Linked DNA regions of Notamacropus eugenii. The protein of the gene in region 1 binds, or shares a complex with, the protein of each later gene. Links are inferred from orthologs where the notes say so. Each region holds a gene or a part of one and is shown in the gene's direction. Other genes may lie near its edges. The genes, in order: RHO, GRK1, GNAT3 and SAG.

Region 1 (6,922 bases):
TGTCAGGTCTCATGAGTTTCTCAGAGACCAGTTCCATAAAGATACAAAAGGGTTGCTGTTTGTTCTTCATTTCTGAAAAGGACCAATGACATCATTGGATTAAAGAGAGGCAGTTGTGCAAAGTCATTAGCCTCACTCTTCCAGAGTTAGTGAAGTCCAGTGGCAAGACAAAGATGTCAAGATGACCAGGATGCAGTAGGTGACTTTGGCATCTTTGATGTCTGACCAAACTCTAGGCGCTCCATGGTGCCTGCTTTAGCCAACTTCATGGCCCTTGGAACAAATGTTCTCATCTGCCCATTCTATGTGGGGAAGTCTTTGTTTGCTTGGGGTAGACATCTCTAACTCACTGATGGCTTTGAGGCAGACTACCACCTCTGGTGTGAGGGTTTGCCAAGCCCTTTTCAGAGCTGCTTATACACCTTGGGTGCCCATCTGTCACCCATCTCTTACCTGTGGTTCCAAGAAACTGTAGCAGACACAGCAACCACACAGATCATCTTGGCAGATGAGCCAGGTTGAGGGTAACCAACAACAAAGATGTGAAAATAATGAAGACAAGAACACTTTGAATTTTTGTGACTCCCCACTGCTCACAGGATAAAGCCCATCCTTCTCAGGGGGACATTCAAGGTCCTCCACACTCTGGCTTAGTGTCTTAGATTTTCCTTAAACACTCGCCAATGAGACTCAATGCTCCAACCTGACTGGAAAATTTACTGTTCCTAACCATGCATGACAATTCCACCCTGGTCCTCTGCTCATGCTGCCTTGTTCCACTTCCCTGCCAAGTCACTCACCAAACTTTCTTCCCCTTCTCCAACTGGATCCTTCCCAATCTTCAAGGCTCAGCCCAAATCTCACCTCCTCCACAAAAGCTTTCCTAAAACCCCAGGCCACATGTACCTTGCCCACATGGAAACTTTTGTCTAAAAATTTCCTCGTGATATTTCTTCTATTGTTATTTTTATGTTTATGTATGCTTGCCTTGTCTCCTCGTTTTAGCCTGCAAGCTGTTTCAGGACAGGGATTTTGCTATATGCTATATGTGTGTGTATGTATATATATGTATGTATGTGTGTGCGTATATGTGTGTATCCTCCTCCCCACACACATACTTCTCTCATCTTCTCCCCCTCCACACCTGGTACAGTACCTTAAATATATTAGGTAATCAGTATTTCTTAGATGAATTAATAACATTTTATATTCACTCATGCAGCAAACATTTATGTAATCAATCAACCAACAAGACTTCTAAAAGTATCTATTATATGCTAAGAGCTGTGCTCAATGCTGGAATTATAAAGACAAAAATGAAAGTCCTTATCCTCTAACAGGGGAGACAAAACACACACACACAGGCACATATAAATACACATGTATATGCATATGTGCACACATCTACAGCTACATGTACACATGCAGTCAACACATATGTGTATGCATGTATATACATATAGGTATTGTACACATGTGTGTGTATGTATGTATGTATCACACAAAGAAAGCAGGTACAAGATAACCTGGGGGTGGAAGAGGAAGGCCCTAGCAGCTGGGGAGAATTAGGAAGCATCTCATGGAAAATTTGAGATGAGTCTTGAAGGAAAGCAGGAACGTTAAGAGGCAGGTGAAGTGAGTGCTTTCTAGACATCAAAGAACACTGACCCAAAGTCCTACAGTGGATGTGGTATATAGGAGCAAAACGGTCATCATGGTTGAACTATAAGGGGCTGGAGGGGAATAATGCGCAATAAGACTGGAAAGGTAAGTTAGAGTCAGTTTGTATGAAATACTGGAGGGGCTGTGGGAAAATAAGTCTATTCGTTCACTGTGGGTGGAGCTCTGAACTAGTCCATCCACTCTGGAAAGCAATTTGAAAATATGCCCCCAGAGTATTAAACTGTGCATCTACTTTCCAGGGCTGTGCTGGAGCTAGCTCCAAGAGCAGAAGAGCTGATTGTTAAATGTTCAATGTGAGCATTTATATGTTAGAAATCATACCTTCATTTATTGTTTTTTTCTAGACTTAAGAAAGGAGAAAATATTAATAATTCACTTAAACATATGTTGTTCATATATCCCCCCCATCTTGAAAGCCGGTTGTTAAACATTCATTAGCACGCCATTGCCTTTGACTCAGTGATGCCACTACTAGGTGGCATCAACAAGAAAAGGGGAGGGGGAGGATGTACATGTACAAAAATATTTACATCAGCTCTGTTTGCAGTGACAAAGAACTGGAAATTGAAGGGGCTGCTCAGCCCCTGCCTGATTGGCTGCCCTAAAAGTCCTCTAGAAGCCCACATTCTAGGAGAGTGGATGTATCCTATCTCTAAATAACTATAGTATCCTAGAAAGCTGATAAATGTTTGAGAAGCATTAATAATTAATAATAATAAATAGACATATAGTGCTTTCAGGTTTGCAAAGTGCTTTCATTACTTGATCTCCTTTAAACGTCACAAAAACCCCATTGGGTGGTTTCTGTACCATAGGTATTATTGTATCTGTTTTATAGGCGGGGAAACTGAGGCTAGAAGGAGTCAACATTGGCAGTGGGATTTGAACCTCCATCTTCCTGAGCAGAAGTACAACATTCTGGCCAATGTATTATCCTGCTTCTGGTACTGTGCCTTGAATGGTGGAGTAAGCGCAGCTGAATTTATTTGCTTAGGGAACACGGCCTTTTCTCTCTGGAGTGGCAGGCAGCATGGTGGAAAGGATAGAAAACTGACTTTGGAGGATGGAAGGTCTGGGTTCAAGTAGGGTCCCTGGGCCATTCAATAGGTAAGTTGCTTGGTTTCTCACGCAACTCTCCAACACTGTAATTGGACAAGTAGGAAATGTCCAAGTAGATCCAGACCTTGAAGAAATTTCTCCAAGTTAGCTGCTGTTTGTACTTTTTGAAGCATTTTCCACAAAGGAAGTGCATTTCACAAATGAGGAGCATCTCCACAAGCCTGAGAGGCAATCAGGATAGTAGGTATTCTCTCCATTTTACAGATAAGGATACTGAGGCCCAGATAGGCTGGAGCGCTGCTGAGTCCACAGAGTGTTCTCTTAGAGCCAGGCTCTGGGACCTTCTCTAATCCAGGCCTCTTTCCCTTCTATGGCAACAGTTTTGGTCACTCCTCCCAAACAGTCGTCTGACGGGGTGGACAAAATCTCCTTCTTCTTTTGCAAAATGAGGATGGGCTTCGCATTCACCCAGACCTCGTCTCATCCCTGTCTCATTGGTCTTCTGTTCCCTTCTGTCCATTTTAAGAGGCCACTTTCATTCAGAAAATAGTTGAGCAAATTAATGCAGTCTTTTGGGATCCATAAATGGTCATTCCAGCCTTGCCCAGGAAATAAAAGGGGAATAAGAGTCAGTCACACTGCAAGGGCGAGGGGAGAGGAACATTTTTGTGTTCTTTTAATTGAGCCTAGTTTCTTTCAGGCATCACACAGCTGCTCCCTGGCCAAGGCACTACATGATTTTAGCTCTCCTTTCTTGATGGGACACCCTTGGCCCAGAGCTACTTATTAATGAGATCCACTCAACTCCTCAGGACCCCTTCCTTGGGGGGTCTCAGGCCTAAACTTTCCCACTCCAAGAGATCCTGTCTCTGTAGTTAACAAGAGTCACCTTGGTGCCTTCCAGGGAAGCCAATTAGTGCTTGCCAACCTAGCTGGATTATTATGATTAATTATGCCCTGAATCTTCTGGGTGCTGACTCCATAGAAGGAGGGCTTACCCAGAGGGGGTCACTTTATAAGGACCTCAAGCCACAGCTCCCAGTTCCTTCTAATGTGGCTGATCTAGCCTCTTGTCCCACTCTGGGAAGGAGAGGAGGAAGGTCCTTGTCAGTGGCCAGTCCCCTTTAGGCCCAGGGCAGAGAGAGCAGCGCTACAGCCATGAATGGCACAGAGGGACCCAACTTTTACGTCCCTTTTTCCAATAAGACTGGTGTGGTGCGGAGCCCTTTTGAGGAGCCTCAGTACTATCTGGCCGAACCATGGCAGTTCTCCTGCCTGGCGGCTTACATGTTCATGTTGATTGTCCTGGGTTTCCCCATCAACTTCCTCACCCTCTATGTAACTATTCAGCACAAGAAACTGAGAACGCCCTTGAACTATATCCTGCTGAACTTGGCAGTTGCTGATCTCTTCATGGTTTTTGGTGGTTTCACAACCACCCTTTATACCTCCCTGCACGGCTACTTTGTCTTTGGACCCACTGGCTGCAACCTGGAAGGATTCTTCGCCACCACAGGAGGTGAGTGGTTCCCTAGGAAAATGATGAAGAGATCCCCTTCCTGTCTATCCATCGTTGGAGAGGGAGGAGAAGATCTCCGGGACTAGGGCTGAGTGTGTGAGGTTGGTCAAATAGGGGATACTGGCAGAATTGAAGATTCTAGGCTTAGAGCTAGGCCTCCTTCTCTTAAATGCAGAGGTGGGGAATTATGGGTGTAGAACAATGCATGAATTTGTTGAATACAGTCATGGTGTTGGTTAATATTTCCAAACTGCTTTTTTTCCTCTTTCTTTTCAAAGGAAAGCCTTGTTTTCCTTTCTTTGTTGTTACAAGAGATGGTTCAGTAGATAGAAGAATGAGGAGGGATATATCAAAAACAAATATTTTTAAAAAGATCAATAAAAGGAAGAAATATTTAAAAAAAGATTTATAGTTGCACAGGTCATTTCGACCAACCCTGTCATATTACGGGTGAGGCAGCTGTGAACAGGAGAGGGGAAGAAATTTGTCTGAGGTTATGCAGGTAGCAAGGGGTAAAGCCAGCATTTGAACTTAGGTCCTTTGACTTGAAATCCAGTGCTCTTTTTAGTTGCTACCACCCTCTCCCCAAACACATGTCAGTTCCAAGATGGGAAAGGGACCTGGGAGTATTTGAGAGCTCTTTCAGAGCAATGAAATACTTTAGGGGAATGATTTGGAGAGAAGAAAGAACAGTAAAGGTATCTGACATAGACATAGCTCTAACCAGTGCTAATGTATCCCCCTTCCACTCACAACATTTTGCCAGGAAAGCTTGAAGCATGAGCTATTTCACAATTTCAAAGATTTAACGCTGAAAGGGACCTTAAGAGATTCCAGCTTAGGGCTGGAAGGGAATTTTGGGATCATCTATTCCAACTCGTTGTGTTTACAGGTGAGAGAAACTAAGGTCTCAGGACAAGGGTGTGCTGATAAATATTTAACAACCAGTTCTCTGAATTATTAACATTTTCCTGCATCATTTTTTTAAGTTTAGACACGCACACACACAAACAGATCAAGCCCTGGTTTATAGATTTTTGAGATGTAAATGGTCACATTGAAAATTTAGCCATTGGCTCTAATTAGCTGGTTGGAGCTGGCTCCAGGACATCCATCCCTACCCAGAGACTTGCCCAAGGATGCCCAGTGGCAGGGCTAGATCCAAGGTTAGTGGAACTTGGGTCCAGTGCCCTTTTAGGTACACACAGGAGTTACTACCCTGTAAGTGTGTGCTTCAGGTGTTTTCCATAGATTATGGGATTATAGGATTTGTATCTGGATGATTATGAAGTTTAACCTTCTCATTTTACAAAGGAGGCAAGTGAAGGTCAGAGAGACTTGTCCAAGGCACTCATCTAGAGAGGAGAAGAGCTGCAATTAAAATTCAGGTCCTCTGAGTACAAATCCAGTTGTCTACACCCTGCTGCTTGGTCTGCTTGTGTTTTCATACATCCCGCAATGGGTTATTAGCTCTCTGAGATCAGGGATGCAGTCTTTTCTCATCTCTGTGTGTGGCATACTCCAGAGTTTTGCATTCAGAAAGGATTTTGTGATTATGCCTGTTAGACAAAGAGAGAATCACAGAATCAAAGAATCTGAAATTGAAAGGGACTTTATTGACTCTCTCATCTGACCCATACCCTAAAAGATTCCCTTCTATAAATATTTCTGACAAGTGGTCTTCCAGCTTCTCCTTGAAGACTTTCAAAGTTGGGAAACTCATCAACCCTTGAGGTAGCTCATTCCATTTTTGAACAGTTCTAATGGGTAGGAATCTGCTGTGCTCCCCTGAGCTCTAGACCTGGGCTACTTCTGGGCAGAAGATCAATAGAGGAATATGGGTGTGGGTGGATGAGTGCCACAGAAGGGTACAGCTGAGATCCCTGGGGAAGTTCCTCTGAAGGGACAGTCTCAGTTTCTTCCAGCTTGCCTTCTCTATATAGAATAACAGACCATTTCTACCTCTTAGTTAGTGATGGAGCATCCAGAAGGTGGAAGAGATACAAGAGGGTCTCTGAATGGTTAGTTATCACATGCTATCTGAGGTGTGATCAGAAAAGATCCCTGACCCTGAAATTCCACTGTTCCCTTGGGTTAAACATTACCCTTTCTTTCCCAGGGTCTTCTTTAAAGATGCAAATATCCTTAAGCAAGGATCTAATTAAGTCCCTAATACCTCCCAGAGAGCAACCTTATCAGATGTCTTCCAAGCTAAGGGGTTGGAGCCAAGGGCAGCAGGAAAGTTTTTAGAACTTGGGATATAAATGGTGCTGAATGGGGGTGGGGGTATGAAAGGCAGAAAAAGAAATTTTGCCTCTTGCCCAATTTTGTACTGAGCTGATCGTGCATAATATTATGAGGGAGCTGAAGAGAATGTCCGGATTTATTTGGGTCTTGAACTCCAACCTTCCTTCCTCTCCCTCTCTTTGTCCTTTCTTTCATCCTCCCTGCTTTTCTACTGGGTCCTCTAAAGCTGGAAACATTTCTATTGTATCTTTCAGGTGAAATAGCTCTGTGGTCCTTGGTGGTTTTGGCCATTGAGAGATATGTGGTGGTCTGCAAGCCAATGAGCAACTTCAGGTTTGGGGAGAACCATGCCATCATGGGGGTCGCCTTCACTTGGGTCATGGCTCTGGCTTGTTCTACTCCACCCCTCCTCGG
Region 2 (6,874 bases), on another chromosome or scaffold:
GTGGTGAAGGACACAGTGACTCATGTGGCTTTTGGAAATCTATCAAATTCGAGGTCCCTGACTGCACACATATGGGACTTTTTATGCCCTTAAGTTTGCAAGGGAAACATAGAACCTCTTTTGTCTCTTTTTAGGGAAAACTAATCTCTGTCACAGTACAGTGTATAGAAGACTGGGCCTGAAGTCAGGAAGATTCATTTTTCTGAGTTCAAATCTGGCCTCAGGCACTTACTAGCAGTGTGCCCCTGGGCAACTCATTTACCTCTGTTTGCCTCAGTTTCCTCTTCTGTAAAATGAGCTGGAGAAGGAAATGACAAACTACTCCAGCATCTTTGCCAAGAAAAACCTAAATGGGGTCACAAAGAGTCAAACATGTCTGAAAAACAACTGAACAGCAAATCTCTGTTATAGGAAAAAAGAAGGAAGGAGAGGCCTGTCCTTCTTAGGTGGGAAAACATTTGTGGATTTTAGTTTGATCACACATTTAATCTTCATCACAACCTTTTAAATTAGAAAGAGCCTACTTTATTATCCCCATTTTACAGATGAGAAAATGGAAGCTCAGAGGACAGTTAATAAATGGCAGAGCAAAGACTAGAAATTAAATTGCCTGATTCCAGTGGTCTTTCCCTTATACCACACTTCCTATGCACCTTGTAATAATAATAATAATACCTAATATCTATATGATACTTCAAAGTCTGCAAAATACTTTACATGCATTTTCTCATCTGCTCCAGATAATGGCCCTGTGAGGGAGAGGCTACAGGCATCATCATCCCCATTTTACAGATGAGAAGACTGAGACTCGGAGAGGTTTGTCTTTGCTCATGGCTAGCGTCAGAGGCTTTATTTGAACCTAGGACTCCCTTGACTCCAAGTCCTGTGACCCTTTCTGCTCAAACATACCGCTTCATCAGCCTCTTGTGGAGAAGCGTAAGAAATCAAAGGAACTTTCATCTCTAATTATGGCGAAGAGTTCTGATTAAAGGTTAGTGCTGATTAAAACAAGTGCCTGAGCTGAGTTGGGGAGGCTGTCTTAAATGTATTTATATTATTCATGTTATTATGCTAGCCAACTCATGCATAATGATAGCTTTGACATTATTTGATGATGAATTATATCTTCTCTTAATTTGTATTCTTATCCTAAGTCAGCTGGGTGGCCTAATGCATAGAGCATTGGACTTGGAGTCAGGAATACCTAAGATCTAACTACGCCACAAACCCCTACCAGCTGTGTGCTTCTGGGCAAGTTCCTTAACTCCTGTGTCTCAGTTCCCCCATCTGTAAAAGGGGTTGAATTTGACCCTTAAGTTCCCTTCCAGCTCCCAGACTATGATCCTATGTCCTAAGCCAGAAGGACTTTGCAGGAGACCTGGTTTCAGAGTGAGATTCTATAACCGAGGCTTATTTTCATTCTTTCACTTTTGAGAAGGTTAGAAAGAAATATAAATTCAAGTTGTTATTCAGTCATTTCTAGTAGCATTTGGCTCTTTATGACCCCATTTGCAAAGATACTGGAGTGGTTCACCATTTCCTTCTCCAGCTCATTTTGTAGGTGAGGAAACTGAGGCAAACAGGGTCAAGTGACTTGCCCAGGGTCACACAGCTGGTAAGTATCTGTGGCCAGATTTGAACTCAAGAAGATGAGTTTTTCTAACTTCAGGCCCCATCCACTGCAACCTTGTCAAATTCAAGTCAGTAAGGAGTTATTATGAAATGGCCTCCCTGCTATCTCCACCTGTTTAAATTGTTTTCTTTTAAGTCCTAGGTCAATTTTTGTCATCTCTTCCATGAAACCTTCCTGATTTCCTCAGCTATAAGTAATCTTTGCTTTTTCCATTTTTTCTTACTATACTATACCTCTCCTATATATTTATTATGCATGAATGTACAGAACATCTTTGATTTCATAATCAGAAAGTCTCCAGTTAGGAACTCTTTCCACCTCAAAAAATTGTGACTCATCTGGGATTGAATCTATATGAACTAGAAAGGTGCTTGAGACACAAACAGTCCTGCAGATTATCCACCCCTCGATAACAATGATCTAACATTAATATAGTGCTTAGTTAACAAAGCATTTTACCTCCATTATTTGACTTATAGCCATACCCTGCTACTTTTAAATTCATATCATCTCCCAACCCTACCCTGGATCCTCTTTATTCTTTCTAATTCTCTAGCCCATTCCTGTATTCTGCAGACTATTTCTGAAATAATCTGTAAAGCCCTGATCTCATCTCCAAACTGATATCCTCTGGAAGGAGTTTTCTATCTGCCTATCAAACACACTGTGGATAAACTGCCACACTGGTGATATTTACTAAAAAGGGAGAAATACACATGTGTTTCCTTATCAGTTTTCCAGAAGATGGACTGTTTATTGCCAATCACCAGAGTTTAACTCCTTTCAGTGAGAGTATCATTTTTATTATCATCATATGTGTTCTTTCAATGTTAATATTTTTAAGAATAATTTTGTATAAATGAGGGATTTCTTTTGATCTTAGAGCACATACTGAGGAGTGGTTGTGGGCTAAGCAGTATGAACAGTTTAGTGACTTTTGTCAGATAATTCCCAATTTACAAAAGTGTGGGATTTTGTTTTTTTGTTTTTTTACCAATTCACAGCTACCTTAATCCTATTTTCATGTGCCTAGTCTCCTATAGGCTCTCTAACACTATTTCCAATTTTAAAAAATCGTGTACAAAATTCTTTCCTCACAACATCCATTTTATATCCCTACTTTATAAATCGTAACATCAGAGATTTATTGCTGCAAGAGACTGTGAGCTTCTAATCCAACTCCTTCATTCTATGGGGTGAGAAAACTGAGGCTCAGAGTACCTCAGTGACTTGTCCAAGGTCACATGGTTAAGCAATGAGGCCAGGATTTAGATATGGGTCTCCTGATTCTGAGGAGTCAACAACTCAAATGCGGCTCTTGCCATTATCAATAAACATCCATAAATTGCCTACTTTGTGCCAAACACTGTGCTAAAAGCTGGAGCATGATGCTTTGCTTTTAAATTCAGGATGTTTCCAGGAAATGGTATTGTATATTTAAAATGTTTTTTTTCTTCTTCTCAAACCTTCTTGACACTGGTTTTTCTTTTCACTTTCTTCTTTCTCATAAAGTAAAGTGCAGAAATAAAAATCCAGTTAGACAGGGGTTCTGATTAGTTATGTTAATACCTCATTAATTGGATTTTCTTGCGTGGAGGCATTTAATCTTCCAGGTTTATTTAACACCCTCCTCCAAAGGGTCTGACTAAACAAGTTTCAAATATGTTAATATTTTTCAACACCGGAACAGCGAGGTAGGGAGTCCAACTGTGTTTGTCCAAGTAGAATGCAGAATCAGAGGGAAAAATTGGTGATTTCTGGGTATTTTGTATCTTAAGTGGCCTTGCAAGGAACGTTACCCAAAGTATTCAAAATTTTCTAGGCAACAAAATAAATATGATCTTAAAGAGAGAGGGAGATGAGAATAATTATCTGCCTAATCAGATAAGAAGGCTACAAAGGTGATGACTCAGGAGAATTATCTTTTTCTGACCCTGGTTCATCACATCTAATTCAACCTCCACCTATATCTAAGGATCCCAGGGATTAGCATAGGTGCTGATCTTGCACATTACCTAGGAACCTGGGGATCTGTTTGTTTTTTACATTGCTTCTTCCTTGGTCATTGCACTGGACAGGACGTCTCCCTTGTCCCCTGGGAGGGCAGGAGGGTGCCACAGGCCAAGGACGGGTCATTCCCCAAAAATCAGTTCTGAGGATCCTCTCACAATTCAGCTTTAACTCGTGACTTCTCATGTGTGAACACAGAGACTGAAGAGCCTGAGGGATGGATTTTGGATCATTGGAGACCGTTGTGGCCAACTCTGCCTTCATAGCTGCCCGGGCCAGTATCGATGCAAGTGGTAGTTCGCATCTATCCCGGGACAAGAAGTACCTTTCAAAGCTCAAACTGCCTCCTCTCTCCAAATGTGAATCCCTACGGGACACTCTTAACTTAGAATTTGAAAACATTTGCTCTGAGCAACCTATTGGCAAGCGCCTGTTCCAACAGTTCCTAAAGAATGATGAACGGTATGTCCCTGCAGTCGAGTTATGGAGGGACATTGAAGACTATGACACCGCTGACGATGATTTTCGCCTTCAGAAAGCCCAGGGCATCCTTGCTGACTACCTGGACCCTAAGGCCAAGCTTTTCTGCAGTTTCCTGGAGGAAGGGATGGTTGAGAAAGTCAAGGAGAAACACTCAAGCATCCCCAATGGACTCTTCCAACCTCTTCTTGAAGTAGCTCTGCACTACCTGAGTGAGGTTCCCTTCCAAGAGTACATGGAGAGCTTATATTTCTTGAGATTCCTGCAGTGGAAGTGGCTGGAAGCTCAGCCCATCGGGGAAGACTGGTTTTTGGACTTCAGGGTCCTGGGGAAAGGGGGTTTTGGGGAGGTGTCAGGTTGCCAGATGAAAGCCACAGGCAAGATGTACGCCTGTAAAAAACTGAATAAGAAGAGGCTGAAGAAAAGAAAAGGGTATCAAGTAAGCAGCAGCAAATAGGTCCCAGCAAGTCCAAAGTAAATGCCTTTGAGATTCCCAAGATGGGGCAGAAGTGGGAGGTGGCAAGGTTGTGGGGCAGTGGGCATGGCAGTACATTCACTGGGATGTAGAAATTCAGTCACTCTCTTCACATAGCTCTAATACAGAGTAGAGGCTTGCATTTTGGGTATAGACAATCTTGACTTGGAGTAGTAGCCAAACTGTCCATGGCTAGCGTTCTGGTCAATGAAGCAACCATGATACAGTGAATAGAAAGCTGGCCCTTGAATCTGGACAACCTGGATTCAAGTTCCAACTCTGACATGTACTGGCAGTGTGATCGTAGGCAAACCATTTAACCTCTTAGTGCCCAGAATAATAGAGTGGCTGCTCTTCTACATTGGAAGAGGGAGTCCCCACCTGGGAGCTCCCTACATAGATGAAATCACAGGTCCAGACCAAAAAATATACATTATATCTTTAAGATGGGATACCCATACCTGGTGGTATAGGACTTGAGTTTCGATGTTTTATGACACTGAAAGCTAAATCACTAAGGGAGGAGAATGGATTGAATGACCTCTTAACACCCCTTCCAGTCCAGTGATGATATGGTTCACCTCTTCCAGTTCTATTGTTGTAATTAATATCAATTGTTTTAAAAGTAATCTGGGTATTACTTTGGTTTGTGGCCAACCCATAGGATATATCGGTATAGTAGTTATTTTATATATGTATATATACATGTATATATATACACACGCACATATATATGTATACATATGTATACACATGTACATATATGCACATATACACATACATGTATATACTTATGTGTATATTTTATATATATATATATATACACACACACACACACATATACACACACATACATTTTAAAACTACTACCTTAGAAATATAGCTGGAGGAATGCCTTATTCTTCCAGGTGCCTCAGTCTGGGTTTTGGAAATATACTCAGCACAATCATAACTTACTTTGTGCTCTAAAAAGAGAGGTACAGTTTTCCATAGTGGCTAGGGATAAAACCTGGACCTGTGATTTCATCAGAATAGGGAATTCCTGGTGAGGAAACTCCCTCTAACAATACAGATTGGCACCTTTTCTGCAATTTAAAATTTATTTGCCCAGAGCATTGAAAGATTAAATAATTTGCCCGGAGTCACAAAACCAGTATATGTCCCAGGTAGGACTTGAACCCAGGTTTTCCTGGCTAGGAGTCCAGCTTTATATCTATTATACCATATCTGCCTCTTAGGGATTTCAGTGACACCAGAGACCAACACTGACCTTCACCTTATAAGAAATGCACATTTCATCCTAACTTTTAAAAATTGCAGTTGTTCCATGTCATGATGGGGTCATGCTGCATGGGGTCCACTCCTCCTTCACTTATGCCAATGTTCCATTTGAGAAGGAGTCCCTGTTAATTTCTGTAAAGTGACTTGTAAACACATCTTTTTGGCCTTTCCATTGACCTTGACACATATCTGACCAAATGAGGTGCTCTGTTTTCCTCCAAAGGTTGCTCAGGGCAACTAGTACTATTACTGAGGCACTTTTCAAATGCAGGAAATTTGTAAGTAGGATCAGTCTGTGACTTGTTTAAAGAAACAAACCAACAAATGACATCCAACTCAATAGTGCAGTAGGAACCGTCTGAGACTGGTCTAAAAAAAGAAACAAATAGTGCACTAGTAGATGGTGTAGTGGGGACAGTCAATGACAGGGAGAAAGATAGAATCCAGTACTAGAATCCAGTACTATTTGGTGAGTGGGGACTGTCTATAACCGTAAGACAGAAAGAAAGGAAGGAAGGAAGGAAGAAAGAAGAATTAGCACATAACTAGGTGGTGATTGTGCTTGGTATGACCATATCTCTGGTCAATTGATCTGAACTGAAGAGGTTAAAGACAAAAATATTAAATCAATCGAGGGAAACATGAGTTCCAAGGAAAAGGCTGTAGAATTCTGATGATGGGATCTTAGAAAAGTAATAATTATTCTTTTTACCTGGTCAAGAAAGGTAGTTTGACATAAAGGAGAGGGAGCTGACTTTTAAACCAGGAAGACTTGAATTCCAGGGCTGCCTCTTCCACATGTTGTCTGTGTGATTCTGGGCACGACCCTTGACCTCTCTCTGTGCTGAATCTAAGCAACTTTCTAAGACTAGGAGTTGCAGAGGAGATGCTGACCTATATTGGTAAAGAGAGTTTCTTCTCATGGGAATTCCTCATGCCAGTGAAATCCCAGAGCCAGTCCCTCTCTCAATACTTACCATAATACCTTCTTCTTC
Region 3 (7,813 bases), about 270 Mb from region 1:
GTCTTGGAGGTTGATAGACAACAACTACCATGATTTTTATGGGATAGTAGGTATGGATTCGGTTAACCTGAAAGAAAGAGAGGTGACTGAGTGATGATGGTAGAAAGTGAGTTTGGAAGTGGCAATGGGATCAAGGATTCCAATTCCCACACCTGGACCAGTAATCAGGGGAGTCAAGGAAAGTGCAACCAGTGCTGAAAAGGGTGGCTAGAAACTGTTTATCAGGAGGGGAGTCATTTCAGAGTGAGAATCAGAAGAAATAAGTGGGAAAGAAAAAGATTAAAATGAAAGTCAATTTGGAACCTACGGAGGACATTATTTCACTGAACACAGTGGAAAGGGTGAGCACCTTTAGAATGTGACAGTGGGAAGGTAGTGCTGAGGGGGATGAAGCTAGGGAATGGGCACTGGGGGATGGAGAATAGGATTTCTATAGCATCCAGAGCATCAGCATCTGAGATTTTGGCTGGGAGCGTTTTAATTATTGCTGAATAAAATCAGGAATGTTATTAACATCACTAGGGGTTCAGTCTCAAGGTGGTGTCCTCCCTTTATGTTTGGAAGTTCAGACAATGAGATGAGTACTGGATAGAGGAAATGAAATAGGATTTCTCTCCCATCCTTGCAGGTAGCCCAGACCAGGCCAGAAGACAGGCAGAGAAAGAAGGAAGGAATAACATCTCTCTGATCATCTGCTGGCAGGAAGAGGTCAGACTAACACAATAAAGTTCAGTCAGAACTAAACAGTGAAAACCAAGTGAATGAAAATGTTTTTACAGTACAAGACCCTTGAATGATAGTGTGTCCTTAATGAAGAAATACAACACATTTACCTAAATGAAAATTCCATGAAGTGTTCAACCAGTATACTGCTACCATGGTGAATGCATGGTGCCTGTGATATAGTAGACAGACAGCTGACCTCCAAGTGGGGAAAGGTTGGTGTAAAGTTGTTCCTTTGATCTAGACTGGTTTTGTGAGCCTGGACAAGGCTCTGCAGTGTTCTGAGAACTATGTGTTGCAGAAACAAGGCCCATTTGCATGAAGAGAGGTACTCTCCTCATCTGGGAATTCCGTATAGTAACATTATCCCGGGTCCAGTTCCTATTACTGCTAATTATGGCAATAAAGCCTAGAGCTAATATACAAGAGAGAGATTTATTTTAAAGTTCAATTGTTCCCAACTACTTGTAGAGATTCAATGACTTCAATCTTTATCGTTTCCTACATAGAATAACTATGAAGCACAGTTCTTCCCAATTTTGTAAAGTTATTTGGTATTGGCCATGCCCAGCTATTCGCAATGATGTATTCCAATGGTATAAGAATACATCTGTTTGTATGTATGGGTAGTGAACTGAATAAAGGAATCTAACCTTTTGCCATTTCACAGGGATGCCATGAAATTTTCACTTATGAGATCATAGATTTAGAGCAGGAAGTACATGAAGGAATGAATAGATGACTGGATAAATAAATGGATAGATAGATGGATAGTTGGATGAATAAATGACTGGAACAGCATTTATTAAATCTTTTTATGTGCCAGATATTGTGGTAAGCCCTAGGGATTCAAATAGGAGTTTGCATTCTAAAAAGGGAGACAATATTATAAGTTTCAGAATCAAGTTATGTGGAAGGGCCCCATAGTCTTTAGTGTGAACTTAGTCCCCTCATATAATTATTTCCCCATTTTAAAGATGAGAGAAGTGAGCCTAAGAGAATTTAAATGACTTGCCTATAATTACAAAGTTAGTATGAGAGGCAGGATTTGCAACTGAGACTTCTGATTCTGTCAATTACTATATGCACTGTGCCATGTTGTCTCCCAGTCAAATTAACACTGTTATTGATTTTTTAAGGTTGATTGACCAGTCAAATGAGTGAAAACAGTCAAATACATTTTGTGTCTATACAAAATAACTGGTAGCAAAGACCACTGGGGGGCTAACCTATGTTGTAGTAGTTAGATGTTGGGCATCGGGTCAGGAAGACCTGAGTTCAAATTCTGCCTTAGACATTTATTGTGTGACCCAAAGCAAGTCACATCCCTTTTATGCCTCTCAGAGAGGCTGGAAGTCATTCAGAGTCTCTCTTAGTGTCCTTATCTGTAAAGTGGGTATAGTAATAACAACTATTTTACAGGGTTATTGTGGAGATCAAGTAAGATAATAGATATAAAGTGCTGTGCAAACCTTAAAGAACTATATTAATTCCTAATGTTGTTTTTACATTGATTCTGCAAATGGATTCTCTGCTCCATTATCATGGAGTGAGGACTGGGGGCTTGAGTTTCATTAGAAAACTATATCATAAACTCATGTTTACAGTGTATATCAGTGAAGGGAAGCAATGGAGTAAACGGGGATAACCCACTTTAAACCTAAGGAGAAATATTGACTATTGGACTAAAGCATATGACCAATGGGAACCAGACTCCCCCAGGTAGTGCCTGCTCTTTTATATTATGCACGCACATGAATAACTATGTTGTGTTGTTCCAGTTCACCATTACTTGGTTAGGATAAAGACCCCAAGCAAGATCTGCAGTCTTCTTCCATTCCAAGTATTCACCAATTTGTAGCCTTCTTATTCCTATATTTAAGTAAGACACTTTGGTTTCCCTCTTCTTGGAATGTTCTTTCTTTTTCCTTTTACCTTGGGGATTTTGATTTGAGCATTAAAGAAACTCTTTTAATGCGTACATTCTTCTTATGTTTCCTGAGTTATCAGAATTTACTATTTACATTTGTCTGTCTGCTTACACAATTCCTTGTGGAATCAGGTGCTCTGTTCGAACAGGTGGGCTTTTGCATATTCATATTGCAAGAAAATATGGTGCTAAGTTAAATATACTTTCCTGTTTTGTTTATTTTTTTCATATAAAATGATTAGGCTGAGTATATGACCATTGCCTAAAACATTTTTGTTCTTATCAATCAAGAGAAATGCCATGATATTTTAAAGCAATATATTATAAATGTGAGTATATATGAATATATAGTTATATATGTATAGACATGTAATGTATACATACATGTGTTCTTACATGTACATACATGTGAGTAGTGTATATACATATGTACATACATATGCATTCATATATATAAATATAAATATATATATATAAAATCAAAGTGATGGCATGATCAAGTATCAGATGGAAGTCTAGACAATGATAGTTCAAATCCTTCCTCAGAAATTTACTTATATTGCAAGTGCAACTCATAAACCCTCTGTCAATGAGCTTTATCATCTGTAAAATGAGGGGGTAATAATATCTATAGCAAGTATATCACAGGGTTGTGTGACAGTCCCATGAGATAATGTATATAAAGTGCTTTTAGAAACTTTTAAGTGCTATGCCAATAAATTATTTACATGTGTTTATACAGATGAACATTTACACATATTTAAATATACATGGTACATATATACATATACATATATACATACATTCATATATACTTTCTATATATATATATACATATATACATGTATTTCACATGACCCAACTGTGTACATGGGGAGGAAAACTTTAGGTTAAATAAGCATCACCTTATTTTTATGAAAATTTCTTGTGTTTTAAATATTAAGTTCACGTGATCTAGATTTTCAATTTCTATTTTATTCAATATGGTATAACATGGGAAGCCTGGGAAAGATACAAATGAGTATATGGTGTTTTTATCTATAAGAAAAAAAATTATTCAAAACTATTATATTTCCCACACCATTTGGCTCCAATTAAGAAATTATCTCATCCAATGTAGCAATTGGTGCTTTAGTGCCAGTCAGAATTAATGTACTCCCCAAAGTGAGTAATAATGCCGCGTTCCAGACACAATCAACATTCAGTGAATGCTAATGAGTTGACTTTCTCAGACGCAGTGATAGACTCAACTGGTGTAGATGGACTATTTAAACACAAAAATCAAGAATTTAGTAGCCCCAACTGATGAATACCATATTTGTAGGAATTTGGAACCACATAAAAATATAAGAATTGTATTTCTATTTTTCCTGCATGTTTAAGTGAAAGATGCAATGAAGTCTGAGGAATTAAAAAAAACAAACAAACATCTTTCAGGAATTAGAAATTACAATAAATTGTCATGATGTGTTTATGAAATCTAAACGTACATTAATACCATAATCTTCAAAAAATCTGTGTAACAATATTATTTTCATAGAATAAATCATTTCCATTTTTAGCACTTCTCTTTCTAGAGTCATAGGATAATAGAATCACACATTTAGAACTAAAAAGGAACTAAGAAATCATCTAGTCCAACACCTTCATTTTATAAATGGCAAAACTGAAGCCTAGGGAAGTTCATTGACTTGCCTAACGTCACCCAAATACTAAGTGGCAGAACTGGATCCAAACCCAGTTCTCCTGACTTCAGATCCACTAGACTTTAGAGTTTTCATTTCACTCTGGAAAAAAAGAAGAAAGTGAACCACTTAAACAGGAAACACTTTTCCATCTCCAAAGCTCTTTCACATTTGAGGCTCTTTTTTAAAGTTGTGGTGCTATCCAGATTCGGCATGCTTTCTTTTAGTGGATATAATTAGTCTACTCCCCATCAACCCTCACCCTCAAAGAAATATTCCCCAGAGGATCACTAAAGTGCCATGTAATTTGAAAGCCTAATGAATTTCCCCTTCAGATTCCCTGGGTCAGGTGACAGACTGGAAAGCAATTCTTTAGTCAAAACAGGACCTATAGATAGATGATTGGAGAGACAGTTTGGGACTTCTGCATAGTACTCTTCTCACACTGTGTATTTGGCCTACAGCTGTGCAACTGGTTGTAATATTTTATTTTTAAAGAATAAACTGATTATCCAACAATTCAACATGGGGAGTGGAATAAGTTCTGAGAGTAAGGAATCAGCCAAAAGATCAAAGGAACTTGAGAAAAAACTTCAGGAAGATGCAGAGCGAGATGCCCGAACTGTAAAGCTTCTCCTATTGGGTAATATTTCTCTTAATTCATATTAAGAATAATTTCCATGTTTTAAACTTAGTCTCAAAGGTAAACATTTTGCAAAGTTTTATATAAAATATTAATGCAGATCTTCAACTATATATCACATGCTTTGTGAAATATGAAAAATCATATTTTCTATTATTTTATTTATGGGACTTTATCAAAATACAGCCTAAATTGTCTAGAAAGCTAAAATAGTAAAGCTAGAATAGCTTAAATGTTTTTCTCATGTCTCTTTAAGGTCTTTAGATGGCATATGTGAGTTTTTATTTTTGAACAAATATTAACAGACCAACAATAAACGCAGCCAGAGTTAAGAGTATCTATCCACTGAATAACATACTGTCACAATTTTCACTTTGAGAATTTCCCCTCATTCACCTCATTCTCTATTGGTCAGATTTTAGAAGTTGAAAATTAAATGAACAAACATATTGCGTTATGGGGTGTGTGTGTGTGTGTGTGTGTGTGTGTGTGTGTGTGTGTGTGTTCATAATACTCTAATAATTCAAATGTTGATCTTTTTAAAGATATTATTGAACACGTAGACATGAAAAACAAAAGACATAAAAAACAAACATTTATTAGGACTATGTACTTCCTTAGTGAAAACTGAATTTTGTAGGGAAAATATAGTGTTACCTAACTATTCTCTCTAATAATTAATAATAGCATTAATATTGTACTTCAAGATTTGAAAAACAGTGTATGTTATCTTATTTGATCATTTCAATCTATGATGCTCTATAAGTAATAATATATCTTTTAAATTCATTTTTGTTACATTCAAAATGTCTTTAATTAAATGCCATAAATAGAATGTGTAATTTAATGGAAGTTTGAACCAAAATTCTTGCAGAGAACGAGCTAAGAAGCATCAAAATGAACGCATTTTAAATTCATCTCTTCTCACAGATATCCTGGGTTAATTGTCTTACAAAATAACAAAGTCATTTTATTACTCTTTATTTACTACCCAGGCCTTGAAAGAAAGAACAAATAAGAAAGTCTTACATGTATGAGCTATATGCTGTTTAACTTTTTGCCTGAATCTTGCACTTTTCACTTCAATGGTCACTTGTGACAAATGCTTGGTATTAAACATGTATGATGAAAAGATTTCCAAAATTGGAATTCTGATGTAAGAAGTGGATTTGATTCATCCCTTTTCAAGACATGTATTAAAAGAAGCAGGGGGCATGGGGGCAGGAAGGCAATAGAGATGGAAAGGAGTAAAATACTACTTCTTGGTGAGATTTTAGGAAATAGAACATTGGATTTTTCATTTAAATTTAAGAATTGGGATGTTTCACACTAAAAATGCTATATGTATATGTGTATGTATGTATGTGAGTGTGTGTATATATATATATATAAATATTTTATTTGTGCATATTTATATACAACATTCACGAATGTATACCCCCCCATATATATATGTCTATACCAGTATAAAAATCATGTGTGTATATTTATAATTATGACCAGTTTTATCCCTGACTAATGAGGCTACTTTTTAAACTCACCTTGGGATCCACAAAAACTGTGGTTTGTAAAGTCAAAGAAATCATTTTCTTTTTCTCTCAATGTAGATTCTTTGATTGTGAGCATGATCACAACACTCCTCTGTATTCGCGCCTTCATTTAATCAATATTTATGAAAGGCCTGTTTTGTTCAAGGCTGCAGTATTTTTTAATAGTCTACTATGAAGTCCCATCTGGACTGGTGGAGAGAAAGCTGGCCCAAGAAGAAGGAAAACCTATGTCTAAGCTCCCCTTTCATCACCCGTTGACCATACATACATACATACATATGTACACACACAGAGCTAACTATACATACATACACACATACACATACACACACAAATATCAGAGTAGAATAGAAGACCAGTCATCTCATGCTCACCAGGGTATTTTTAGAGGTAGCTCTGCCTCAATTTTTACAGCTATAGGATGGGGGTAATAATACCTACCTTCCAGGGTTCTTCTGATTATCACATTAAATATGATTGAAAAAGGCTTAGTATAGTGCCTGACACATAGTAGGTGCTTAACAAATGTTTTTCCTTTCTTGTGCTTTTCTTTCACACTGAACAAATAATATGCACGAAACCTATATTTATAATTATTTCTAAAAGCTAAATCTCTGCTATTCCTTTTGTAGCCATAATTCTTCTCACCTGTGAAAAATCTTACCAAAGAGCTGAATTAATCAGGACAAAATCCAATTCTTTTAAAGAAAGTGGACAAATGAAAATTCTACAGAGCTAAATAATCTCTCCTCTTTCTGTGTGTGTGTGTGTGTGTGTGTGTGTGTGTGTGTGTGTGTGTGTGTGTGTGTGACTAGAGCTCAGGGCTTGGATTCAGAAAGATCTGAGTTTGAATCTAGCCTCAGACACTTACTAGCTTGGCAAATTGTTAAACTCTCTGGTTCTCAAATTTTCTCATCCACAAAAGGATAGGACTGGACTCAATTGCATTTAAGGTCGTGCATAGCTCTAAATTTATGATCCTATTTTTAAAAGCCTCTGCTCAATATTCTCCTTTCTAAAAATCAAACAGTCCAAGTGCTTGCTGTGTGCAAAGTAGTATGTTTGGGGCTATGGAACAAACAAAAATAAATCAGATATAGTTCTTGCCTACTGAACTAAATGAACCCAGTTCCTTTATTCATAGTGGCTCTTCACCCTAACACAATGGATTGTAATGTATTATATTGCTCTCCTCTGGATCCGATCTGGGTTCTTTTTGTCATGCTTCTGTAGTCAAGAGCAAATTAGCAAAGTATTCTAAGAAAGTTCTTAAGTGATGTCA
Region 4 (7,813 bases), on another chromosome or scaffold:
CTTGCCTTGGCACATGTTCTGAATTTTTTAGTGTTTCAGTATTTGGTTCAGCTTGGGACACCAGGCTTTAGGAAGGAGATTATGGAGATGGTGAGGGTCCAGGAAGGGGCAAATGGAAAGGTCGAAGATGCCAACGACCCTGCCTATAGGAGGGAGGATTAATTGGAACGGATGTTTATGCAGCAGTCATACACACCCCTTCTCCCACCCCCACACCTACTTTAATGGCTATCTGCATACTTGGAAGAGGAATGAAGCTGGTTCTATTTAGCCCCAGAGGGCAAACCTGGGGCCCAGAAATGAGAGAGGAGCAAGAGGAAGCTGCAAAGAGACCAACTGAGGCTTGACAGGAAGAAAAACCTTGCTAACTGATCTGTCTCAGAGTGGACTGGACTACTCAGGAGGCCCTGGGCTCCTTCTCCAGAGCTCTTCAAACAGACTGGACAACTGGTTGAGAATGTTGTGCAGAGATTCCTGGTGAGGCATGGATGGGGCCAGATGATTGGTCCCTTCCAACTGAAGAATCTATAAGGAAATCGTTGTGATTATTAAAACATCAGAGCCCTTCGGTATGCCAGGACTGAAGGAATAGAGGTGAAAAGCTCGGAAGCACGCTTCTTCACAGAAGCAAGATTTTTTGCCCAAATGTCAGCAAAAATCATAGCCCGCTTTTTTGGAGGTGTGGGAGAAAAGGTGCAGTCCAGGCCTATGACTTCATCTTTGTGAGGAGCTCCCTCCCTGATAACCATGCGATTTTTGTCTTAGAAGGTTGTCCAGAGCACTCGATGTGATAGATTTGCCCAGATTCACCTCACTGTTTTGTCATACTTCAGCAAACTCTAAGACTTCTGAGCTGGGAATTGTTTTACTTTACTGCGGAGATTTGAGAAAAGGGAAAGATTTTAAAAATTATTTTTCTGGCAACTGTCCTATTAAGCTTAACTTTTGAAGGAAAAGGCTCCCTTGAGCACTTACAATAATCATCTTCACCCTGGATTGCTGTTGAATTGTCAGAGATGAAGCCTAGATGGAGCAAATGCTGCCAACTTCGCACTGCTAGTATGTTTTTCATGACTTATGTGTCCAAAATCGATGGATGGGGCTTTGTCATATGCTCCCATGGACCAAAAGTGTCAAACCATGTCATTTCATGTTTGAGATTTAATGATGTGATCCCTTTGAAATGCCCGATAATCAATTATCCATTGTCATTCAACAAGTATTAAGTGTCTACTATGTGCTGGGTTGTGCTGGCACTGAAGATAATAAGTAAAAAATGTAATGGTCTCTACCTTCAAGAAGACAAGAACCATTCTTAGGGTAATGGGAGATGGAAAGGGAGAATGTACACAAAGAAAAGTAAATGTAAAAGATAGACAATAGAGGAGCAGTCTAGAAAGGGACAGAGGAAGGGGAGCAGGCAAGGCTTCTTGTGGGAGATGATATTTGAGCTAACCTTTGGAGGAAAACAGAGATCTGGGAGAAAATGCATCCCAGGCATGGAGGCAAGAGATCATGGACACTTCTGCTTGTTTCCTCACCAAATGCCATCCTTCTCCCAGGCACCTGGAGAGCCAGCAGATGGTGGAACCACTTCTCCTGGCCCATCAGCAGCCATCCAGGGGTTCTTTCTCTCAATTTGGAATGGAAACTTAGACATGATCCCATTTGATTCAGGAAGCCAAGAATAATACTGGCCCTTGCTCTCCCTCTTATTTTTTATTTTTATTTTTCAGTTAATAGAAATAACTTTGGTGCAGAAAGATATAAAATAAAACCAGGCAGAGCATCTGCCTTTCTATATATTGCCATAAAACCCAAGAGGAATACATGAAGAAATTCCATTCAGAAATGTACATTCTATTTAAGACTTCACTTTAACCCAAACACAGAGGAACTGTGTAAATACAACTACAAAATTCTTTACAAAGAGATAGTAATCGCCCATAGCTAATCCATACCAGTATAATACAAATGGCATTACTACGTACATTCATTTACTTATTCAGTGTCATAGCAATAAATGACTGATGGAGAGAGCTAGAATCAAAAAAGTAATTAAATTAATCTGGAGGAACAAAAGGACAAGATTCTCAAGAGAAATCATGAAAAAACATGGGAAAGAAGGGGGTCCAACAGTGCCAGACCTCAAACTACACAAAAAAGTAGTAACCAAAGAAAACTATTAAACTATTTTGGTATTGGTTAAAAAAGAGAACTGTCCATCAGCACAACAGATTAGATGTGCAACATACAGAAAAAAATAAAGCCAAAGATCTCAATAATAGGGATGTGAATTTAAGATTCAACAGAAACTCCTGGGAACACTGGAAAGCAGTCCGCTGGAAAGTGGGTGCAGGCAAACATCTCACACCATATACAACAATCTCCAGATAGATATATAACCCAGTTCTTTTTTTAAAAGTCATTTCACAAACAGGAGCAATGAATAAAGGACTTTCAGCACCTATGAGTGTGGGAAGAGTTCATGACCAAATTAGGTAGAGAATTATAGAAGATAAAATGGACAATTACGGTTCTATAAAATTGAAAAGTTTGTGCACAATAAAAATGCAGTTAAAATTAGAAGAGAAGTAGTTAGTGAAGAAAAGAGGGAGGATCTTTACAGCAAGTCTCTCATTTAAAGGTTTGATATCCATGATATATAACGGATTTAAATATGTAAGAATTATAGCCATTCCCTGATTGATAAATAATCAAGACATATGACCAGGCAGTTCTCAAAGGAAGAAATCCATGTTATCAACAGCCTTATTAAGGTATGCTCCAAAGTGCTAATAATTAAAGAAATGCGAATTAAAACAAGTTGAAGTTCCACATCTTACTTATCAGATTGGCAAAAATGACGGTCATGGAAAATGACAATTATTGGAGGGGCCATGAGAAGATAGGGGGACTCAACTGTTGGATCTGTGACTTGGTCCAGCCATTCTAGGGTGTAATCTGGGATCATTTCCAAAAATGCTGCGCTGTCCATACCCATTGGCCTAATGATACCACAGCTAGGTTATGTACCCAGAGAGGTCAGGGACACTACAAAGGATCCATATGTGCAAGAAATATTTATAGCAACTCTTAGTGTTAAGGCAAAGTACTAGAAATGAAGGGTGTAAGTTGAAAAAAAGTTATGGTATGTAAGTATATGAGATTATGGTGCCATAAAAAGTAACCACTTGAAAAGACTTACATGAAACTGATGTGGAGTGAAATGGACAAGGGAATAGTTAATACAGTAACAGCACTGCCAAGGAAAACGGCTTTGAAAGATCTAAGAACGCTGATCAGTATGACTGACCATTTCTCAACTTCCATGATGAAGCATGATTTTTTTGCAGTTTAGTCATTTTTCAGTTGTGTCTGACTCTTCATGACCCCATTTGGAGTTTTCTTGATAGAGATACTGAAGTGGTTTGCCATTTCTTTCTCTGGCTCATCTGACAGATGAGAGAACTGAGGCAAACAGGGGTAAGTGACTTGCCCAGGGTCACACAACTAGCAAGTCAGATTTGAACTCACAAATAGACTTCCTGACTGCAGGTCTGATGTTTGATGCACTATGGCACCATCTAGCGGCCTTGATGAAGCAATGATGCCACCTCCTAACCACGAGGTGATGGGCCCAAGGTACAGCACTTTCAGATATGGCCAGTTGGTGGATTTGTTTTTCTTGGCCATACTTATTGGCTTCGAAGGTTTTGTTTTTCTTTTTTCATGAGGGAACAGGTTTTTGGGGAAAGGGGAAAGCTAGTAATAGAGAAAGAAAAGGAAGGAAGGAAGGAAGGAAGGAAGGAAGGAAGGAAGGAAGGAAGGAAGGAAGGAAGGAAGGAAGGAAGGAAGGAAAGGAAGGAAGGAAGGAAGGAAGGAAGGAAGGAAGGAAGGAAGGAAGGAAGGAAGGGAAAGAAAGGAGGGAAGAAAGGAAGGAGGAAAGAAAGAAAGGAGAGAGAAAAGAAAGAGAAAGAAAGGAAGGAAGAGAAAGAAAAGGAAGGAAGGGAGGGAAGGAAGGATAGAGGGAGAGAGGAAGGAAGGAAGGAGGTCACTGCATTTTTTTAAATGCATTGAAGAAAACTGAAGGAAACAGACCCAGTGAATGAATAACTTTGAACATGATGAATCGTATACTTTGTGGGGTTAAAGAAAGCTCTTCTTAGAAATTTGTGGTTTTGTGTAGCCCAGTTTTTTATTCTACTTGCAATATGAAATTTTTAAAATTTGTTTTTCTTAAAATAAATGAGAACCGTTGCCTCTTCCTAGTTAAGGTTGCACCTTGTGGTAATGAACACTACCTACTCAGACCACAGGAATCCTAGGGGTCAGAGAAGACTCCAGGAAGCCCAGCCTCATTGTCCAAGATCATCCATCTGTGGCTGATACTCAGGTAAAGCTTGTAAGAGAATTTGGCAATGGTTCATGAGTGAAACAAGCTAATTATTACTGCTAAGATACCCATGGGGCTGGCACGCCTTCTGACCTTTTTATTAAAATGAGTGACCTCAAAATGGCATTGCATTAGTTCAGCCTAATTAAGCCTAAGATTTTCAAGTCTTTTGTCCTACTGGGGCTTCATGAGGAAAGCGAATTCAATCTATTTCTAGAAACCAAAGAGGTTTACAAGAGAAAAATAGCTTTCATTTCTCCACCTTACCTCCTAGCCCCACCCCCATGGCATGTTCACCCTCCCTCACCAACTGGAGAGGTGAGCCTGAGAAGATGGAGCTGGGGAAGAAGAGGTTCCTTGGCTAATGCTCAGAACTGCTGAGGAGAGCAGTTTGCTGATTCAGGGGCTAATCCAGGTCCTGTGTTCTGTTCCATGCATGAGATTATCTCCTAAACAGCCACAGCCTAGCTCATTAGACAGCCCGTCCAAATCTGCTACAAATTCCCCTCTTCATCCTTTGGGAGGCTTCACTCTCATCCACTTCAGGGAAAGGGCCGCCATGAACATTGTCCCGCCTGAACAGCACTAGCTTACTTGGAAAGAGACGAACCCGAATCCCTGAGCCTCCATACTGCCATTACTGGTCCAGCAGAACTCCAGGTAAAAACCAAGATACTGTAAATCAGTCATTAAATGGATGTTACTGGTGTAGCAAGAAATCTGAATGGGGCCAAGGGAAGTCAAAGTTGCTGAATAAATTCCCCACTTCTTGGTTTTATTTCCTCTTGTTTGGCTTTTCGGGGGATCTTCAGGTGAAGTTACCTAGGCTGGCTACTCCCTTTGGTGGGCTGCTGTAGAGGTGTCCGAAGTTGGGGCTATACCTACCCAGCAGACCACAGCCTAACCCCAAGGGGCTCATGAACCACCACTCAGCATGCGAAGACAAATCCTGGGTCTGACCCTGCTTACCATGCTTGTTAAACTTTCTTATTGTCTCTAGAATCAAATATGATTTCATTCCTTTTCAATTTCTATTTTGCATATGAATTTTATAATGCTAAGTAATAATTCATGCAATAGTCTTTGTAGATGGTGTAATAATATAATTTAATTTAAATGTCAGTGTGCACATATTGGTGGTACGTTCTCCACAGTGGTTTACCACTGGTATGCATGATCAAAAAAGGCTGGGAGACAGCTCAGTGCTCTAATGAATTGGGAATCAGGAAGGGAAAGAAGAAAGGGGGACTGGGAGCTGCTCTGCATGAAATACTTTTTTGTGTGATGGGTTCTGGTTCTCTGGGACATCCTTATTATCCACAAGGATTTTAAATTTGAAATTCATACTGAATTTCAGCATCTCAGGCTGGTGATTTTTTTCCATCATTGGTCTGGTAGGAAAGAATGTGCCATAGCCAAGGGGATAATCCAAAGACCAGATCTTCTCATTTGAATCTGCCACTTCTCAGAACCACAATTAGGTCCATTTTGTTGAGGTTTTATAAGAAAAGGCAAATATGTCAGCAGAGACTTGTCCTACCAGCTCAGCTCCCAAGAGGTTCAGCAAAGTTATGGGACTTGCCCCTGACCACACAGCCGGGGTCAGAGGTGGTGTTTGAACTCAGACCTTCCCCAGAGATAGCCACTTCAAGAATGTCATCCCGTTGTGCCACACTAGTAAAGTAGGTTTTTTTTTCCTTTTTAAGGACATTCTGCCTAAAAATCAAACTGTATAAAAGATCTATTTTCCAGCTACTGTTAGAAGCTGAGGATAAACATGGGAATGTCTTTTGCTTGACTACTGTATATCTGCTATGAGGGTTTTTTCTCTTTATCGTTCATTGGGAGGGAATTTGAGAGAGAAACAAAATAGATTTTTGTTCATTAAAAATATAATTATTAAGGAAGGAAAAGGAAGGAAGGAAGGAAGGAAGGAAGGAAGGAAGGAAGGAAGGAAGGAAGGAAGGAAGGAAGGAAGGAAGGGAGGAAGGAAGGAAGAGCTGAGGGTAGTTTAGGATTTGTTTGCTGGGAGTTTTGGGTTGGTTGTTTCTAAATATTTTTTGATCCAGACCTAAGATTTCATTTAGTGTCGGGAATTCCCAGTGTGGATATTCTGTCCACCAAAGTGGATCAGCTCCTTAACCAAATCTTGCCTTAGATCCTGGTTGTTTTGTGACCCTGGACAAGTCACTTAATGTGTGTGTCTCTTTCTCTGTGTGCCTCACTTTCCTCATCTGTAAAAGAAAGGAGTTTGATCTGATTTCCTCCTAGCTCTAACCCTAGGAGTCTGTGAGCCCCAACAGGTCAGAGACATGGCAGGCACTGAGAGGTTGAGTGACTTGCCCACAGTCACACAACCAATGATCCCACTCCATGGTTCTGGCTTTTGGAAACTGAGGCTAGCAGGACTTCTCAGAAGCACATGTGTGCACTAGCCTGCCTTTGGCATCTCAGCTGGCCTGTCTCTGCACCTTTATCCAAGGCCGTCGCTTGCCTTTGAGGACTCTTTGACACCTGAAGGACTCCCACAAGCCCTTCCAAGATGGCAACCGGGGTGAAGAATGCCCCAAACCACGTTATCTTCAAGAAGGTCTCCAGGGACAAGTCGGTGAGTGGCTCAGGGGCTGGGGGAAGGGGGGAGGCTCAGGATGAATGACCAGGCTGCTTTATTAGCTCCTTAGACATCTGCTGAGCGCCTACTTCGTGCAACACCCAAGATCCCAGCAACCTGAGTTGGGAGGGGGAGGAGGCAAAGATGACTAACTCTCTGGGAGCTTCAGGACAAGTGGAGAAAATAAATAAGAGCCACAGACAAAGGGGATCCACAGCCCAGAAACCCCTAAACTGGAGCCTAGACTTTGGGAGGAGGAAGAGGAGGAAGTGATGGGATGGGGCCTCCTGGGATAGGAGGGAGCAGAAGGAAACAGGAACCTTGGGCCTGTGGCCTGGGGGTCCTTGCCAGAAAGCTAAGGAGATAGCTACTGGACCTATAGACTTGGAGTTAGGAAGACCTGGGTTCAAGTCCTACCTTAGACAGCTGTATGATCCTGGGCAAGTCACTTGACTTTTCTGTGGCTCAGTTTCCTCATCTGTCAAATAAAAGTGTAGCCTCTAAAGTCCCTTCCAGCTCCAGATCAATGACCCTGGGGTTCCTGGGGTCTCCAAGAACCTCTACAAAGAGCTAAGGAGCTGGGCCTTCCTTGTGGAGGGAAGGCTCATGAATGGTAGTGACAGAATGTGGGAGCAGGGAGCTGCTCTGAGGCCCAGACAGGTGAAGGTGGCCCAAGGTCACACAGCCAGTAATGGCCCCAGGGCTCCTTACTCTCCAGCAAACTGACTCAACGATGGAAATCCACTGGCTCAGAGTCATTCCTCAATTAATGAGAGGGGACTTAAGGGATGAGTCCTGAGGATTTG

Evidence for each region.
Region 2: the proteins of RHO (region 1) and GRK1 are in contact, whole or in part, in a cryo-EM structure (PDB 7MT8), measured with the Bos taurus proteins. The link is inferred for Notamacropus eugenii from reciprocal best matches to the Homo sapiens genes RHO and GRK1. Residues at the interface, in NP_001014890.1 of Bos taurus: Lys66, Lys67, Arg69, Thr70, Arg135, Val137, Val138, Val139, Lys141, Ser144, Asn145, Phe146, Arg147, Phe148, Glu150, His152, Leu226, Thr229, Val230, Ala233, Gln236, Gln237, Glu239, Thr243, Ala246, Val250, Met257, Ile305, Tyr306, Met309; in NP_776598.1 of Bos taurus: Leu6, Glu7, Thr8, Val9, Val10, Ser13, Ala14, Ile16, Ala17, Ala18, Arg19, Gly20, Asp23, Ala24, Glu184, Asp185, Trp186, Phe187, Leu188, Asp189, Phe190, Val192, Arg195, Glu200, Gln205, Met206, Lys207, Lys221, Arg222, Thr256.
Region 3: the proteins of RHO (region 1) and GNAT3 are in contact, whole or in part, in a crystal structure (PDB 4A4M), measured with the Bos taurus proteins. The link is inferred for Notamacropus eugenii from reciprocal best matches to the Homo sapiens genes RHO and GNAT3. Residues at the interface, in NP_001014890.1 of Bos taurus: Leu72, Arg135, Val138, Val139, Lys141, Thr229, Val230, Ala233, Thr242, Thr243, Lys245, Ala246, Glu249, Val250, Asn310, Lys311, Gln312; in NP_001103452.1 of Bos taurus: Ile344, Asn347, Leu348, Lys349, Asp350, Cys351, Gly352, Leu353, Phe354.
Region 4: the proteins of RHO (region 1) and SAG are in contact, whole or in part, in a crystal structure (PDB 4PXF), measured with the Bos taurus proteins. The link is inferred for Notamacropus eugenii from reciprocal best matches to the Homo sapiens genes RHO and SAG. Residues at the interface, in NP_001014890.1 of Bos taurus: Arg135, Val138, Val139, Lys141, Leu226, Glu249, Val250, Met253, Met309, Asn310, Lys311, Gln312; in XP_010802144.1 of Bos taurus: Asp71, Ile72, Met75, Gly76, Leu77.

The regions. Positions count from the first base shown.
Region 1 is NC_092874.1:431,909,413-431,916,334, reverse strand, and holds the start of RHO (rhodopsin), read left to right. Parts: upstream 1-3,900; coding exon 3,901-4,261; intron 4,262-6,762; coding exon 6,763-6,922. UniProt on the Homo sapiens protein: Photoreceptor required for image-forming vision at low light intensity. Required for photoreceptor cell viability after birth.
Region 2 is NC_092877.1:207,271,237-207,278,110, reverse strand, and holds the start of GRK1 (rhodopsin kinase GRK1), read left to right. Parts: upstream 1-3,860; coding exon 3,861-4,562; intron 4,563-6,874. UniProt on the Homo sapiens protein: Retina-specific kinase involved in the signal turnoff via phosphorylation of rhodopsin (RHO), the G protein- coupled receptor that initiates the phototransduction cascade.
Region 3 is NC_092874.1:157,595,522-157,603,334, reverse strand, and holds the start of GNAT3 (guanine nucleotide-binding protein G(t) subunit alpha-3), read left to right. Parts: upstream 1-4,810; 5' UTR 4,811-4,863; coding exon 4,864-4,981; intron 4,982-7,813. UniProt on the Homo sapiens protein: Guanine nucleotide-binding protein (G protein) alpha subunit playing a prominent role in bitter and sweet taste transduction as well as in umami (monosodium glutamate, monopotassium glutamate, and inosine monophosphate) taste transduction.
Region 4 is NC_092873.1:60,271,029-60,278,841, forward strand, and holds the start of SAG (S-arrestin), read left to right. Parts: upstream 1-4,811; 5' UTR 4,812-5,056; intron 5,057-6,878; 5' UTR 6,879-6,938; coding exon 6,939-7,004; intron 7,005-7,813. UniProt on the Homo sapiens protein: Binds to photoactivated, phosphorylated RHO and terminates RHO signaling via G-proteins by competing with G-proteins for the same binding site on RHO. May play a role in preventing light-dependent degeneration of retinal photoreceptor cells.